Canis lupus familiaris: one gene and its partners. Each later gene encodes a partner of the first gene's protein in a complex. Links are inferred from orthologs where the notes say so. Each region holds a gene or a part of one and is shown in the gene's direction. Other genes may lie near its edges.

Region 1 (4,758 bases):
AGGTCTGACACTGCCACCACTTGGGACAAGGTGTGTCTTTCAGAGTCGTGGTCGAAATTGGCCAGGCACTAATTTCTTATTGGATTCTGGCCATTGAAGAGCACAGTGGAGTGGCCTGTGCCCAGTGTCACACCATGACACCTTCCTCAGGCTACCAGCGGGCACTAGGTCTCCAAGCTGAACAGGGACAGAGTGCTGGTCAGGTTCCCAGGGGCTGGCGCTGTCCATTTGTCCTTCAGCTGTCCCAGCTGCTTCTGCCATTAATGGAGGCCATCAGTAGGGTCTCTTGGAGTATCACTGGGTGCCTCTTAGGATATTGCTGGCTGCTCTCTCTGGGTGTCATTGGCCACATCTCAGGCTATTGCTGACCGTCTCGAAGGGTGTCAGGCTATCTCCTGAGTGTAGCTGGCTGTCTCCTGGGGTGACCATGCTGTCTTGGGCTCTCTGCACTGTAACACTGTGGCTGGTTGCCATCTCTCAGACTGCCCCAGGGCTCCGACCAGCCAGGGCCTTCCAGCTGGAGGAGTCACACAGAAGCAGCCCCCTGAATGCTTTGGCCCAGTTCTCCCCTTTCAGCCTTGGTGGAGAAAACCCTTCACCAGCCCCCATCCTCCCTGCAGAAGCCCTCTGAGGATCCTGGGCCCCAGACAGTGAGAGTGCCTGTTCTCAGCCCGTTTGTCTCCTAGAAATGCACTGGGGAGGAGGGGATCTAGAAGGCCAAGCAGACCTGGATTCCCATTGCTGGCCGGGCAGCTCGGGCTAATTATGCAGCCTCTTCAACTGGAAAAACAGAGACAGAAGGACAGTCTCTGAGGGCTATTGTGAGAAAGGAAAGCTGTAGCATCTATAAAGCACCCGGCACAGTGCCCAGCATACAGTAGGTGCTTAATAAACCCCACTCATCCTGCCTCAAACCCAATGACCCAGGCTCAGCCTGCAGCAGGGTCGCGGCGGGCAGGGGGTAGCTGATGGCACGTGGTGGTGAAGGGGTTCCCCACACACCCCGCTCGTCTTGCCCACCTGGGCCTGCAGACAAAGCTGGGGCGTCACGCCCTTTAGCTCCCAGGCATCGTTATTACTCAGGAGCTCCACAGCATGGATTTGTGGGAAATCTAATGAAAGGAAATTAAGTAGCAGCTCCCAGACAGGCTGGATGTGTTCATATCTCCTGGAGTCTTTGGATTTGGCATCTACTGCCAGGCACTCCGAGACCCTTCCCATCTGCACGGTGGCGATGGGTACCCTCTGCTCCCCTCCCTCCCTCTCTCTCTCCCTCTCTCTCCCCTGCTTCTCTGTCTTCATTTACACCTCAGTGAGTCTCAACCCTTCTGAGCGCAGAGTTGCTAATGTGATTTCCTGCCACGTTCCTGAAAGCCTCTGCCAGGAAAATCAGCCCCTTAGAACAGAGCTCCCTGGGCCTTCCAGAACCTCGGAGGTTCTTCAGTGAGGATGTGCCTGCAGGAGGGCCCTGTGCTGGGCACTCGGAAGAGCGGGGAAGGGAGGGCTTGGACTCCTCTCCGATGCCTGCTAGGTGTCCTGCTGCAGAGGTACATCTTTTGATCTTGGGTGAGTGAGTTGGGGCCTCAGTTTCCTCATCTAGAAGAAGAGTAGGATTGGACTCGATGCTTAGGACCAGCTCTGACATCCACAGATTCTGGAATTCTGACAGGAAGGTCTAGGGAGAGCCAGGCATTCTTTGGTATCTCTGAAAGTTTGAACAAGGCCTTCAAGAACTTACCCTTTTCTCAACACTAGCCAGTTTCTGTGTGACTCATGGCCTGGCCCCACTCCAGAACCTGGAAAGAATAAGGGGAGGAGGTGCTAACAAGGACCCCCGTACACACCCCCTTTGCAAAGCAGGTTGCTTTTTGCTTCCTTCACACAACACACAGTTACGGAGCTCTGCTGTGCCAGACCCTGGGTCCCTGGGCCCTGCCCTCTCGGGACCTAGGATAGGGTGGAGGGAGGCTTTGATACTGGAGGACAGGAGTCTGCATAGAGCTGGGCACTGGGGACCATCGGTCCCCCATTATGGGGTAGGAGACACCTTGCCGGTCTGCCTGTGCTGGTCCAGAGGTGGTTTGAGTTTGAGGGACCTTGAATGAGTCAACATACTTTTGTGCCTGGTTTTCTGCAAAATAAGGTATAGACCCTCTTCCAGGTCCTCCTACATGGTGGCCTTGACAGGTTGAGAAGACCACCAGTATGAAAATACCCTGTACATGGAAAGGCTTCATCATTTTATGGAGCTTACCTTGGAAACAGGAGACCACCACATCTCTCAGCTTCCTTTAGTCTATGAAATGAAGGCAGTGGTAACATCGGGGACTTTGATACAATCCTGGGAAGGGAGCCCATTTCTTCCCCAGGGCCAGGGGGCAGGGCCTGGAAAGTGAGTTACAGAGCGAAGAGAGATTTTTTTTTTATGGCCTGTAATGGCTCTGTGGGTGCACCTGCCATCCCTCCCATGGCTGATAGGAGCAGGCTCCCACTGCAGCAGGAGGGATTTGGGGGTAATCATCCCTAGTGGTTCCACTCGGAAGTGAGTGAGGAAAAGAGTCCTAAAGGGTTGGTGTCCGCGGTCACGAGGGCCATGTGGTATTTGGGCAGAGCAGAAACTTGCATGTAAGAAGCGTGCACACACCTTTGTGCACGTGGAGTAGGGAACCCCGTGGGACGTGGAGACCCGAGTTAGCTGGTATTTGTCCAACCGCATGGAGCAATGGGCAGAGCATGGGATTCAGAGACAGACACAGGCTCAAGTTGGACAGCCCCACTCCAGGGCCATGCTCGACACCCAGCCCGGGTTCGGGAAGGGGAATAACTACCGTTAGTACCAACTCCATCTCCACCAGCTGAGGGGGGTGTCCTTACATGGCGAGCGGGTGCAGGGGTGCAGCTATATAGGAGCCTCACCTCTGTTCCTCTCCCCTACTTCAGAAGAAGAGCAAGGTACACTACCATGTCGCTGTCATCATCAACTACCTGGGCCACTGCATCTCCCTGGTGGCCCTCCTGGTGGCCTTTGTCCTCTTTCTGCGGCTCAGGTGAGAAAGACTCAGTGTTGGCCTCTGGCCTTGAGCAGGGTAGAAAAGTGAGACACAGGAAGCAGCCCTGGGGGAGGGGCTGCTGGCAAGACGGGCCCCTGCCCCCTCACCTCTGTGGGAGGGGGACAGACATAGGAGCTCCAGGTCTCTTGGAACCTCTGGCAGGGCCATTTCTGCCCCCCACCCAGCCCAGTAACTACTGGGGGGACCAGTGATGGCTGAAGCCCAGGCTTGCCTTGTGCCACCCCCACCCACGCATGGATGCACCCATCTGGGAGGCCTGGAAGGGGGAGCCTTTGGGTTGGAAGGAGGCAGCTAGCAGTGCCAGGCAGGTCTGTGCCAGGAATGGGGGTGGGAGCAGGAGCTGAGTATCAGGCCTGAACGCTGGGAGAGAGGCATCCCACTGGAAACCTTTTATGTCTTTGGACCCTAGAGCTACAGGGAAAGTAGGGGTGCTATGGGAGGAGGTGGTCCCCAGTAAGCCAGAAGCCCCTGGTCCCTGGAGCATCTGCTATGTAGCAGACTCTGCCCCAGACCTTAGGTCTGGATGCGTCTCAGGTAGGAAGGGGTCTGTGGGGCATCAAGAGAGCTTCTGCTGTCACCTCCCAGTGTGACTCAGCCAGTCAGCCCGGTCCTCAGTTTCCCCATCCATACATCTGGATTGGAGTGAGGCTGGTGGCCTGTCCCTCATTTCTTCTTTCCTCCCTTGCTCCCATCACCCTCCCACCCTCCCCCGCTGCCTCCCAGGAGTATCCGGTGCCTGAGAAACATCATCCACTGGAACCTTATCTCGGCCTTCATCCTGCGCAATGCCACGTGGTTTGTGGTCCAGCTCACCATGAGCCCCGAAGTCCACCAGAGCAATGTGGTGTGTCCTGGAGGGGCAGGCACAGGGTCAGAGGGAAGGTCTGGGTGGGACTGTGCCCTGGTGAAAATGGGCCAGGCACAGGCCTTGAGGCCCAGTATAATGGGAGTGGCTCCCTGCAGGATGAGGGGGACAATGGGGGGAATCCTATTAAGAGGAGGTCCCAGGCCCAGGGTGGGGTGCTGCTGCCGTCATACCCCATCCCCAGTCTAAGTGTCATCTCTGGTGGGGGTGGGGTGGTAGGGCTGGTGCAGGTTGGTGACAGCTGCCTACAACTACTTCCACGTGACCAACTTCTTCTGGATGTTTGGGGAGGGCTGCTACCTGCACACGGCCATTGTGCTTACCTACTCCACTGACCGGCTGCGCAAGTGGATGTTCATCTGCATCGGCTGGGGTGAGTGCCCTGCGCCCCCTCCTCACCCAGACTCTGGCCAGCTGGCTAAGGGACCTGAGAGCCCGGGGCCAGGTCAGGGTGGTGGGGTGAGAGTTGCAGTCTGCCCCGACTTGGGGATGGAGTGCAGCATGCCGGATGAGTGAGTTCGAGCTCTACCCTGGAGAACCCCTTCGCACTTCTAGGCCCTGGGCTGCACTAGGGTCTTCCAGGCCTTGTGTCTCCCACCCATGAGCTCTGTGACAGCCAGTCTCTCCCCAGGTGTGCCTTTCCCCATCATCGTGGCCTGGGCCATCGGGAAGCTGTACTACGACAATGAGAAGTAAGTCACCTCCTCCCCTGAGCCCCGAGGTACAGGCTCTCAGCCCAGCTCTGCATGATGCTTCCTAAGGACCTTGGGCCACATCACCTTCCCTGTTGGGGCCACAGTTTCTTTGTCCATATAGGAAGGG
Region 2 (4,213 bases), on another chromosome or scaffold:
GTTAAAATTGTTGGGAGTGAGGGGACATTGGGAGCAGGGACACTCTTCAGAGGGAACAAAGTCAATATTATGTGAATAGCATAGCTTAAAGGAAGACTTGTAGACCAGATCCTCGACACCAGAGTCCTTGCAACACTCTGAATGTAGAGAGAGGAAAATTTACAATCAAGAGAGGGATATGGCGGGCAGCACATTTTTAGAAGATAAAAATCTCAGCCAGTTCAAAGGTGGACAGAGATGTGTATGCAGCAGGAGCCTGGTCAGGACCAAATAAGAGCCATGCTCAGCGACATGAGGGTGTTCCACTTGTAGGCTCTTGTCCAGGACACAGAGCTCTGGGATGATACCTGACCCCGACCTGCTTGTCCTCTGGCCCGAGCCACACGTCCCTCTGTCCCTCGGGGCTGAAGGAAGGAGACCTCAGTGTGGACGTGCTCAGAAACCAAGCCCTCCTTTCCCAGCTCTGCCCCTTTGCTTGCTCTTCCTCCTCTTTCACCCTGACAATGCCACCTCTGTTCTGCAGGCTGGCTGTCGTCCAGTGTGTTGCTGTCATCTGGAACTCCTACCTGTCATGGAAGGCACACCGGCTCTAGGCCGGCCTCACTCCGGTGTCGGCGCCTGCCGTGCTGCAGCATGACCCCCAGTGTGGCCAGATGGCCTCCTCCAAGTGCTCATGGAGAATGAAAGGCCCTCCATCGGCTTTCCTGGGGTCCCGTTGCCACTCAGAACTTAACAGGCTTAGCACCTGACTCCTTTTGAAATAATTTCAACCTTTATAATGGTCTTATGCCCACCACACAGTAGGCACTCTGTAATTGTGTACAGTCTTGTTAGCTGTAGTTTGTACCTGTATCCCAGCAATGCCACTTGTCCCCACACTTCACAGACACATCTGCTCTCTATAACCTTCCCAGCCCACCTGGAGCTCTGGCTCTTCTGGGGCCCTAAACACTTTATATGGTGCCTCCGGAAATCTGTTATTAAATACATAGTTTGAAACTTGCAGAAATCTATGGGGGCAGTTAGAACTTCTAGAGCTAGAAAGAAGTCTAGAGACAACCAATCCCAATGTTCTCCCACGGATGAGCATGCTGAGGTCCACAGAAGTGAGATGGCAAGTCCACACCACCAACCAGTGGCAGAGTGGAAACTTGAACACACATGTTATAGATGAATGTTTGTATGCCCTCCAGAATTCATCTGTTGCAAACCTAATGCCCAGGGTGATGGCATTAGGCAGTGGGGCCTCTGGGAGGTGATTAGGTCATGAGGGATTCGTGCCCTTTTAAAACAGCCCCAGACAGATCCCTCACCCCTCCCACCATGTGAGGACACACCAAGAAGGAAAAGTTAGTGAATACCACATCTACCAGTGCCATGGGCTTGGACCTCCCAGCTTCTAGAACTGTGAGAAATAAATGATGTTTATAAAATACAGAGTTGATTGTATTTTTGGTATAGCAGCATGAAGAGACTAAGGTTCCCTTACTTCCTACCAAGTGATCTTAACTGGAGGTCAAAGGTACAGTAATACTACTGCTGTGATTCCCAGAAGAAAACTAACTTGGTAAAAACACTACTTTGCAGCAAACTCAGAAGCAGATGGACCTGCCTTTTGTGGTCTGAAAGCCCCCAGAGGCCAGAGGCTCTTTTTAAAATAAATGGTGCCTCAGCCAGACCACCCTAGAATTTAGACCATGGGGCTGGAATAAGCTCAAGAATCCTGGCAGGTGGGCTGCCTCACTGCCTTGCTGCCTCTGGGATGGTAGCAGAGTGGGAGCTGGGAGCCAGCTGTGCTCCGGATTGCCTTAGTTTGCAGAACTGATACTAAGGACTAGGGACTAGGCCTGAGCAGCACAACCTTCTCCCGATGCCTCTGGCCCCTTCTAGAGGCCAAGAGCAGAGTGATCACCACCGACAGCCCTGAGGTCCAGCCTCTCTTCTGTGTGCCATAGAACATCGGCCACCTGACTGGTCTGATAAGGGGGCTGGCCCTAGTCCCTACTGGCTGTCATACGCAGGTAAAGGACTCTCATGGCTCCCAGAGCAATGGTAATGCCCCAGCAGCTTCTCCCGCCCTGAAGGCAGGGGCGCTTGCAGCACTGGCAGCAGGACCCAGAGTGGAGGGTTGTGAGGTGCGCCCCTCTGGGTCTTGCAAGCAAGCGGCCGGACTCCAAGCTGCGGCCGTCACTGCTTCTACAATCAGTACATGTCCCTCGCTGACGTCAGTCCGAGCTGTCCTGGGGCTATATAAGGCTGGCGGCGGTCCCGGGACAGACCCCGTGTTCCCCAAGGCGCCCTCAGCCCACCCGACGGCCGGAGACTGGAGCCCCGTCCTGCAGCGTGAGGACACTCTCCGGCAACCTGTGAGTAGCTGGGAGCATCCAGCCTGACTCCTGAAGCACCAGGACGGCGCTCAGCTCTCCCACCACGACTCGCCCGCCTCAAGGGAGAGAGGGAGGACAGGGTGGCACCGGGCTGGGGCAGCAGCTGGGACTGGAGGGAAGGCTGTGGGCACCAGGCGGCAGCCGCAGGGGCCCGGCCGCGGGGCTGGATGCGCGTGGGAAGGGGAGTGGCGCCACTTGCGACTGCCCGGGACGCACCTCACCCCGCGCTCCCCCTGTCTGTCCAGGGCCGGCGGCACCATGAAGCAGAGGGGACGCGCGGCGCTGCTGATGGCGCTGCTGCTCCTGGCACAGCTGCGCCCGGGGAGCAGCCAATGGAGCCGGGAGGCGGCGGCGGCCGGGGTCCAGGACCCAAGTCTGCGCTGGAACCCCGGGGCGCGGAACCAGGACGGCGGCGCCCGCGCGCTGCTCCTGCTGCTGGCCGAACGCTTCCCGCGCCGCGCGGGGCCGGGCCGGTGGGGATCCCGGACCGCGGGCGAGCGGCCCAGGCGGGACGACCCTCCGCTGTCCATTGATCTCACTTTCCACCTGCTGCGGACCCTGCTGGAGCTGGCGCGGACGCAGAGCCAGCGGGAGCGCGCCGAGCAGAACCGCATCATATTCGAGTCGGTGGGCAAGTGATCGGCGGCGTCTGCAGCCGCGATAACCTCGACCCCGTCCCCTCTCCCCGGGCCCGGACGTGCGCGACTGGAAGTGACCCAGTCCCGCCAGATTAGAGCGGCCCAGGGATGCCCTGAGCACTCTGTGCGTCACCAGTTTTTAATAAAAGTGCTGAAGAGCCTTTGGCCTCGGTTGTGGGGCGCAGGGAACCACAGCAGGGTGGGAGCCCGTGGGAAAGTGCGACCTCCCAGGCCGGCGGGGGGGAACTAGATGCTGGCGCGAGGGCTCGGGCAGAAGGGCCTTCACCCGGGGTCCGCATCTCCATCGTTCCCCCAAGAACTCAGGTGCTGGTGCCGCCGCACCACCCCGACCCTTTTCCCTTGGCACTGAGCTCGCCAAACCGTGCTTGATACCAAGGAGATGCCCCGCAGGGGTCATTCCACTTCCGTCCCTCAAATGGGCCCGGATCCGGAGAAGGGCAGGATGGTGATGGGGTCACTCGGAAGCCGAGACTGAGAGTGAGCAGTGAAAGGAGCTGCGGGTCTGAACACATTAGCCCTTTATTGAGCCCCTCCCCCGCGGCTGGGCGCCGAGCTGGGTGGCGCAGCGGTCTCTGAGCAGGTCCTCCGCGACCCCAGCGCCAGGCCCCGGTGCGCGGGCTCCCCAACAGGGAGCAGCTCAGTGCCCGCCAGTGCCTGGGAAAGAAAGCTCGGTGGGCGGGCGTTCCAGAGGAACAAGGCAGCTCCGAACCCCAGCTCGCCCCTTCTCCCCCAGCCACGTGGCTTTCTCCTCTACCTCCCGACCCAACCTGGTCTCCCAAAGCCCCAGAGGAAAGGCTGGTGGGAAAGAGAGTGTACTTCTGCACGCGCGCTAGGGGGCGCCCCTCCCGCTGGGGGTGGGGAGGCCACCAAAGATCGCTGGTGCCGCAGGGCGGCCTCACTGCAGAGGGGCCCGGGGCGTCGAGCCAGCCCCGCCAGGCCCCTCGGGCCACACTCACCTTCCGGCCCATCCGGCCGCTCTTCCTCCGGCCCTGCGCTGCCCTCTTCCCCGTCCAATGCCACCTCCTCATCCTCTTCCTCCCCGGAAGCGCCTGTCCCCCAGGAAGACCCCGTGAGGTGGAGTCCCTGCTTCTCTGGCCGCGACCTCCCCCCCCCCCCCCCCCCGTCCCCCGTCCCCCGTCCCCCTTCCCCGCGTCGCCTCGGGACGCC
Region 3 (5,198 bases), on another chromosome or scaffold:
ATTAACTAGGTAAGTCACTTTTCCTCTCTGGTTGTCATTCAAACCAAATGATCCATTTAAGACTTTCCTAATGTAAATGCTCAGTGATTTGAAGAGATCTTACTTTTAGATAAATCGTGGTAAGGGCTGCTGTACACTGTTCTTCTTCCTCTGGGACCCAGGCCTTTTGTCCTCACCCCTATTCAGAGCCACTTTTTCTAACTAACTACATACTCCAGGAAAATCTCACAGCAAAAATTCAACAGTGATGAGGGAGGTAGACTAAAACAACACTCCACATGGCCCACAGGAGAGAGACCTGAAAGGGTGTAGGGTTAGAGTCCAAAATATTCATCTTCTCTGGAGAAACTCTTATGCCTTCCCAGCTAAACTTACAGTCTTATCCCTTTCCTAGTTGTTCTTCTGTATCCAGTTTCCTGAATGTCTTCCAAATCTCCTTCCACCTCCAGATTGACATCTAACTGGATTCTGCCAGTTGGGACAGTGAAGGGGCGATAAAGGAAAGTAAGCAGAGGAAGTTAAGATCCATTCAAAGGGGAAAAAAAGCTCACAAAAACCTCCAAGTTTCTCTGTGTCCCCTATCAACATAAAACACTGCTTTCCTGTAGAAGCTTAACCATTTTCTATAATTTTGATCTTCTATTAACAACCTACATGTTTCCCAGAAGACACATTTCTTTGTTCTCTTATGTACATTTCATCTCAAAGTATATTCCATAGCACAATGATCCAACTATGGGGTGGATTCTCTGGAAACTGCCAGCATTTCTCTTTCTACCTTCCTTTTGTTTCTAAAAGCAGTTTTGGATTAGTATAGATCCAAAATAGGAGTAGAAATGTGTGTTGTATCATTTATCATATAGCTACAAAGGAAGCAGCAGAGCTAACCAGAAATGAGCAATAGGAGATTTCTGATAAACAGCTTTGATGGTTATCTAGAAGCTGAATTAAATCACAGACACCAGAGTTTGGAATTGCATTTAGAAACGCAAAATTAGAGGTAACTACCTCCTACTTATATGATAGTGTCAATTTAATTTGAAATTTGAGTATTGGTTTACAAGCCTAGCATTCCATTTTGTGGTAATGCAGAGAGCATTTATGTATTTATCAGGTTTCCTGATAAGAAACAATAAAAAAAAAAAAACTCTGGGTGTCCCTGATGTGGATACTATAATGGATGTTGATAGTATTTAGGAGTAAAATGAATGAGATTATCTTTTTATGGGCTTGATATTCATCAATGAAAATATGCAACTGATGAATTTGGCACTGTTATCAGGCAGTTTAAGCCTTTCCCAATATAGGATAAGTTAGAATAGATGCTTCTCTCACTGTGTTTCCATCAAGTAGACCATGAAGATGTATAGCTCATGCACCTCTCACTTATCCTTTCTCTCTCTAATTTGGGAATAGAAAAATCCACAATTAATTTTGGATTCTGACAGGAGAGACCAAGGAAGGGCAGTGAAGTTTGGGGGGGAATTTAAAATCTTCCTGCATTCCCAACTGACCCTGGTTTGGGCCATTTCATCATGGAAGCAGGCTCCTGCCAACCATTTAAAAAACTTGAGCCTCATTTCAAGAGACTTATTGGTCTTGCTTCTGTAGACTAATAATTCTTTTATTTGTTCTTGGGAAGAAAAAGCAGGTAGAAGCTTAAAAACTAGATATCCCTGCACTTCTATCTCCTTGTTCATCATTCTTAACCAGGCAGAAAGGTGATGGGACACTTGTCTCTAGAAAAGGGATATTTTCAGACACTGAGGTGTTGCCAGAGACAACTGGTCAGAGAAGTTAGAAGGGAGAGGAAAGAGGAGAATCCAGATCCAGCCCTTAGAATTGGTTGCTGCTTTCCTCATAGGACTGTGGATTAATTGACCTCCTGTCCCTTACACTTTCTTTCCCCCTCCCCTCTCATTTGATGCTCTTTCTGACTCCAAATTTGACCTTTCCTAGTAAGAGGTCAGTATGTTTTTACATTTGGGAAATCTCATTCAAGAATTTTTGTCAATGGACAAGTCATAAGAAGCCCTTCCATTTTAGGGCTCGTTGACGTCACCAAGGAGGCGATAAATATCTGTTGATATAATTGGATGTGAGATTCAGTGTTGAGATAGCAAAACTCTGCCCCTCGTTCTCTGGCAGGGCCCTATGATTTATGCAGGAGCAGAGGCAGCACGCAATCGAGCTGTCAAGAGAGCGTCAGCTTATTAGGCAAATGCTGCGTGGTTTCTGAAGAGGGTCGACGCTATAAAATCCCACTCCAGGCTCTGGTGTGGAGAAACTCAGAGCCCAAGTCCGTTGAGAGACTGAAGAGAAAGATAAGAGGGGAAGAAAAAAAGTGAGGACAGAAAGGAGAAGGGAAGAAAGCCCCTGAAAAAGCCCCGGAGACGTTCCTCTGCTGAGAGGCGGCAGCGCCCCACTCACCTGCAGAAGCACCTCAGAAGGTAGGGAGCGCCTAGACGGAACCGCGCCTCCAACTTTGCGTTGCCTGAGCTGCCATGGTGTGCGCGGCAGAGCCGGGTGTCCCTGTGAGGGCATATGTGTGAGTGTGAGTGTGTGTGCATGTGTGTGTTTGCTGACTGTGCCTCAGGATGCCGGTAGTAGCCGGGATGTGTCAAAAGCAAACTTAGACGGCTGCTAATCGTTATTGGAACTGTCAGTTACTCCTCGCTGGCTTTGTAGATGAGTCCCCGCCATCGATCCCGACCCCTGAGAGAAGGACACAAAGGGCTGGGATGGAGAAAGGGGAGGAGGAGGCAGCAGTTCTCAATTTGGAGGACAACGCCGAAACACCCGGAAAGAGGGGCGGTTATTACAGTGGGTGAGATCTAAAATGTGTAGATCTTCTCTAGAGCTCGGGGAATCCGTTTTGGGGATCGTTAGAAAGGGGACCCAGAGACCCTTCGAGGATTCGGAAGAAGGGTCACTCCAGCCTAGCGAGGGGCTGAGCTTTGGTGCTAAGCTGTAGGCGTCCCCTTGCCTGCCCCCCCCCCCCCCGCCCCCACGGCAACTCCAACTCTAGACGTCCTGGTTCGAGAGCTTCAGCACCGCGGACAGTGCCTGCCCGAACCCCGAGGCGCGTCCACCCGCGTCCTGTAGGAAGACCCCGAGCGCGCCTCCCTTTTGAGCTGAACTCTGACCAACTCTTTCTTTCTCTCTTCCCTTCTCTCATTCCGCTCTCCGCCCACCTCTGTGCCGCAGCGAGTGCCCTTAACATGCGGCTGCCCCTGCTCCTGTCCGCGGGCGTCCTGCTGGTGGCTCTCCTGCCCTGCCCACCATGCAGGGCCCTGCTCAGCCGGGGGCCCATTCCGGGCGCCCGGCAGGCTGCGCAGCACCCCCAGCCCCTGGATTTCTTCCAGCTGCCGCCGCAGCCCCAGCAGCCCCAACAGCCGCAGGCTCGGCCCGTCCTGCTCCGCATGGGGGAGGAGTATTTCCTCCGCCTGGGTAACCTCAACAAGAGCCCCGCTGCTCCCCTCCTGCCCGCCTCTTCACCTGTCGCTGGCGGCAGCGGCAGCCGCCTTTCGCCGGACGAGGCGGCCGCCAACTTTTTCCGCGCGTTGCTGCAGCAGCTGCCGCTGCCCCGCCGCCAGCTCGACAGCCCCGCTGGTCCCGCCGAGCGCGGGGAGGAGAACGCCCTCGGCAGCCGCCAAGAGACCCCGGAGAGGGAGAGACGATCCGAGGAACCTCCCATCTCGCTGGATCTCACCTTCCACCTCCTCCGAGAAGTCTTGGAAATGGCCAGGGCCGAGCAGTTAGCGCAGCAAGCTCACAGCAACAGGAAACTGATGGAGATTATTGGGAAATAAAACGGTGCGTTTGGCCAAAAAGATGCAGCATTTAGCACACACACACAAAAAAAATTAAAATAATACAGTATTCTGTACCATATCGTTGCTCTGATACCATTTGTTTATTTTTTTAAAGCTTGAAGCCTAGACGATGTACAGCAAGAGAGCCTATACTCCTTAATTAGCATGCACAAAGTGTATCCACGTGCAGTAACAGCAACAAAATGTTATTTCTATTGTCTACTTTCAGTTTCCATTTCCAGGTGTCTTTAATGGTGTTTGAAAAGTATAGACCCAGAAGGAAATGTTTTGAAGCAGACAAAAGTTACCCGATTTATTTTGTTGTGGTCTGAGCCAAAGAGAATGTCATTCTCTTGGGTGGGTGAAACAAAATCTGTAAGCTCTTTGAATCAACCTTCCTGTAAAAGTTCCAGTAATAAAACATCTTTCCAATCCTTGGTCAATTTGGTTGTGTAAGACAATGTTGAATATTTATATTTTTAATAAAAGCTGCAAAGGTAATCATGACCTTATTTTTCCTTTTTAATGTTCATAGGAGTAAAACTCTCAGCTCCTGGCTTCCTACATGCTGACTTCAGCACAAGAGAAAACAAAACTCCTTGCATTAATTTCCTACTAAAAATACAAACATATGCAAGTGGCTTACACAGATACTTCAATTGCCTTGGACTCATCTTTGTACCTCAGTTACTCCTCTGAGGTTAAGTTAAATAGTTTGGGAAGTTTCTTCCCGCTTTAAGACTTGGTAATTCTATGAATGGAAGATAAATTCATAATGGAAATAACACTTAACCCTGATTATTATAAGAGGGTAAATAACTGGAGAGGGCGGGGACAGAGGAAAGGCAAAGAGAGGGGTTCGCAGAGCATTCCTCTAAACTGTAGGGCCAACATACTGTTTGTTTTTGTTTTAGGTTTGAGAAAGACTCACTTTATCAAGCTACTACTTTGGTACTGTAAAATATACTTTTTCTGTGCTATTTTCCAGTGCCTACTTCTTAATAGGAGAAACTTGATAGCTTCCCACTTCAAGCAACAAATTTAATTGCTATGAAATGGCACTTGGGAAAATGTTAAACATAAAAAATATTTGACTTTAATAACTTTGCAAATGGTCTTCTCATTTATTTCTATATGAATCCTAATCACTGTTATTCTTAAGAATATTAACTATCTCCATGCATTTCTAAAATGGAACAGGCACATCCAATGAGTTTTACCATGCATTTATCTTTGATAGTTGGGTTAACTTACAAAAATTCAATTGAATGTTTAATACCCCCAAATTAATTTGGGTGTATGGAGATGTTTTTCCCTTGGGACCCTTTAAATACACTTGACTATTAATAAGATCACATGAAACACTGAATAAGTCATTATAAG

The links. The genes of interacting proteins can lie anywhere in the genome.
Region 2: the proteins of CRHR1 (region 1) and UCN are in contact, whole or in part, in a cryo-EM structure (PDB 6PB0), measured with the Homo sapiens proteins. The link is inferred for Canis lupus familiaris from reciprocal best matches to the Homo sapiens genes CRHR1 and UCN. Residues at the interface, in NP_004373.2 of Homo sapiens: Leu106, Asn107, Glu109, Lys113, His117, Val120, Asn123, Trp169, Val172, Gln173, Ser177, Pro178, His181, Gln182, Thr192, Tyr195, Asn196, His199, Phe203, Phe260, Gly261, Lys262, Pro264, Tyr270, Tyr272, Gln273, Met276, Ile277, Tyr327, Phe330; in NP_003344.1 of Homo sapiens: Asn84, Pro85, Ser86, Leu87, Ser88, Ile89, Asp90, Leu91, Thr92, Phe93, His94, Leu95, Leu96, Arg97, Leu99, Leu100, Glu101, Leu102, Ala103, Arg104, Thr105, Gln106, Gln108, Arg109.
Region 3: the proteins of CRHR1 (region 1) and CRH are in contact, whole or in part, in a cryo-EM structure (PDB 6P9X), measured with the Homo sapiens proteins. The link is inferred for Canis lupus familiaris from reciprocal best matches to the Homo sapiens genes CRHR1 and CRH. Residues at the interface, in NP_004373.2 of Homo sapiens: Lys113, Tyr116, His117, Ala119, Val120, Asn123, Trp169, Val172, Gln173, Met176, Ser177, Pro178, His181, Thr192, Tyr195, Asn196, His199, Phe203, Phe260, Gly261, Lys262, Tyr267, Tyr272, Gln273, Met276, Ile277, Leu280, Tyr327, Phe330, Phe331; in NP_000747.1 of Homo sapiens: Glu156, Pro157, Pro158, Ile159, Ser160, Leu161, Asp162, Leu163, Thr164, Phe165, His166, Leu167, Leu168, Arg169, Glu170, Leu172, Met174, Arg176.

Annotation. Positions count from the first base shown.
Region 1 is NC_049230.1:17,145,413-17,150,170, forward strand, and holds part of CRHR1 (corticotropin-releasing factor receptor 1), read left to right. Parts: exon of another isoform or gene 1-780; intron 781-1,738; exon of another isoform or gene 1,739-1,796; intron 1,797-2,254; exon of another isoform or gene 2,255-2,940; coding exon 2,941-3,047; exon of another isoform or gene 3,048-3,708; intron 3,709-3,794; coding exon 3,795-3,915; exon of another isoform or gene 3,916-3,922; intron 3,923-4,155; coding exon 4,156-4,309; intron 4,310-4,567; coding exon 4,568-4,628; intron 4,629-4,637; exon of another isoform or gene 4,638-4,758.
Region 2 is NC_049238.1:21,343,444-21,347,656, reverse strand, and holds UCN (urocortin), read left to right. Parts: upstream 1-1,867; 5' UTR 1,868-2,366; intron 2,367-2,632; 5' UTR 2,633-2,645; coding exon 2,646-3,026; 3' UTR 3,027-3,186; downstream 3,187-4,213. Other genes in the region: protein Mpv17, read left to right, coding at 524-593; TRIM54 (tripartite motif-containing protein 54), read right to left, coding at 3,684-3,700, 4,003-4,095. UniProt on the Homo sapiens protein: Acts in vitro to stimulate the secretion of adrenocorticotropic hormone (ACTH). Binds with high affinity to CRF receptor types 1, 2-alpha, and 2-beta. Plays a role in the establishment of normal hearing thresholds.
Region 3 is NC_049250.1:16,297,346-16,302,543, reverse strand, and holds CRH (corticoliberin precursor), read left to right. Parts: upstream 1-1,871; 5' UTR 1,872-2,450; intron 2,451-3,207; 5' UTR 3,208-3,221; coding exon 3,222-3,812; 3' UTR 3,813-4,316; downstream 4,317-5,198. UniProt on the Homo sapiens protein: Hormone regulating the release of corticotropin from pituitary gland. Induces NLRP6 in intestinal epithelial cells, hence may influence gut microbiota profile.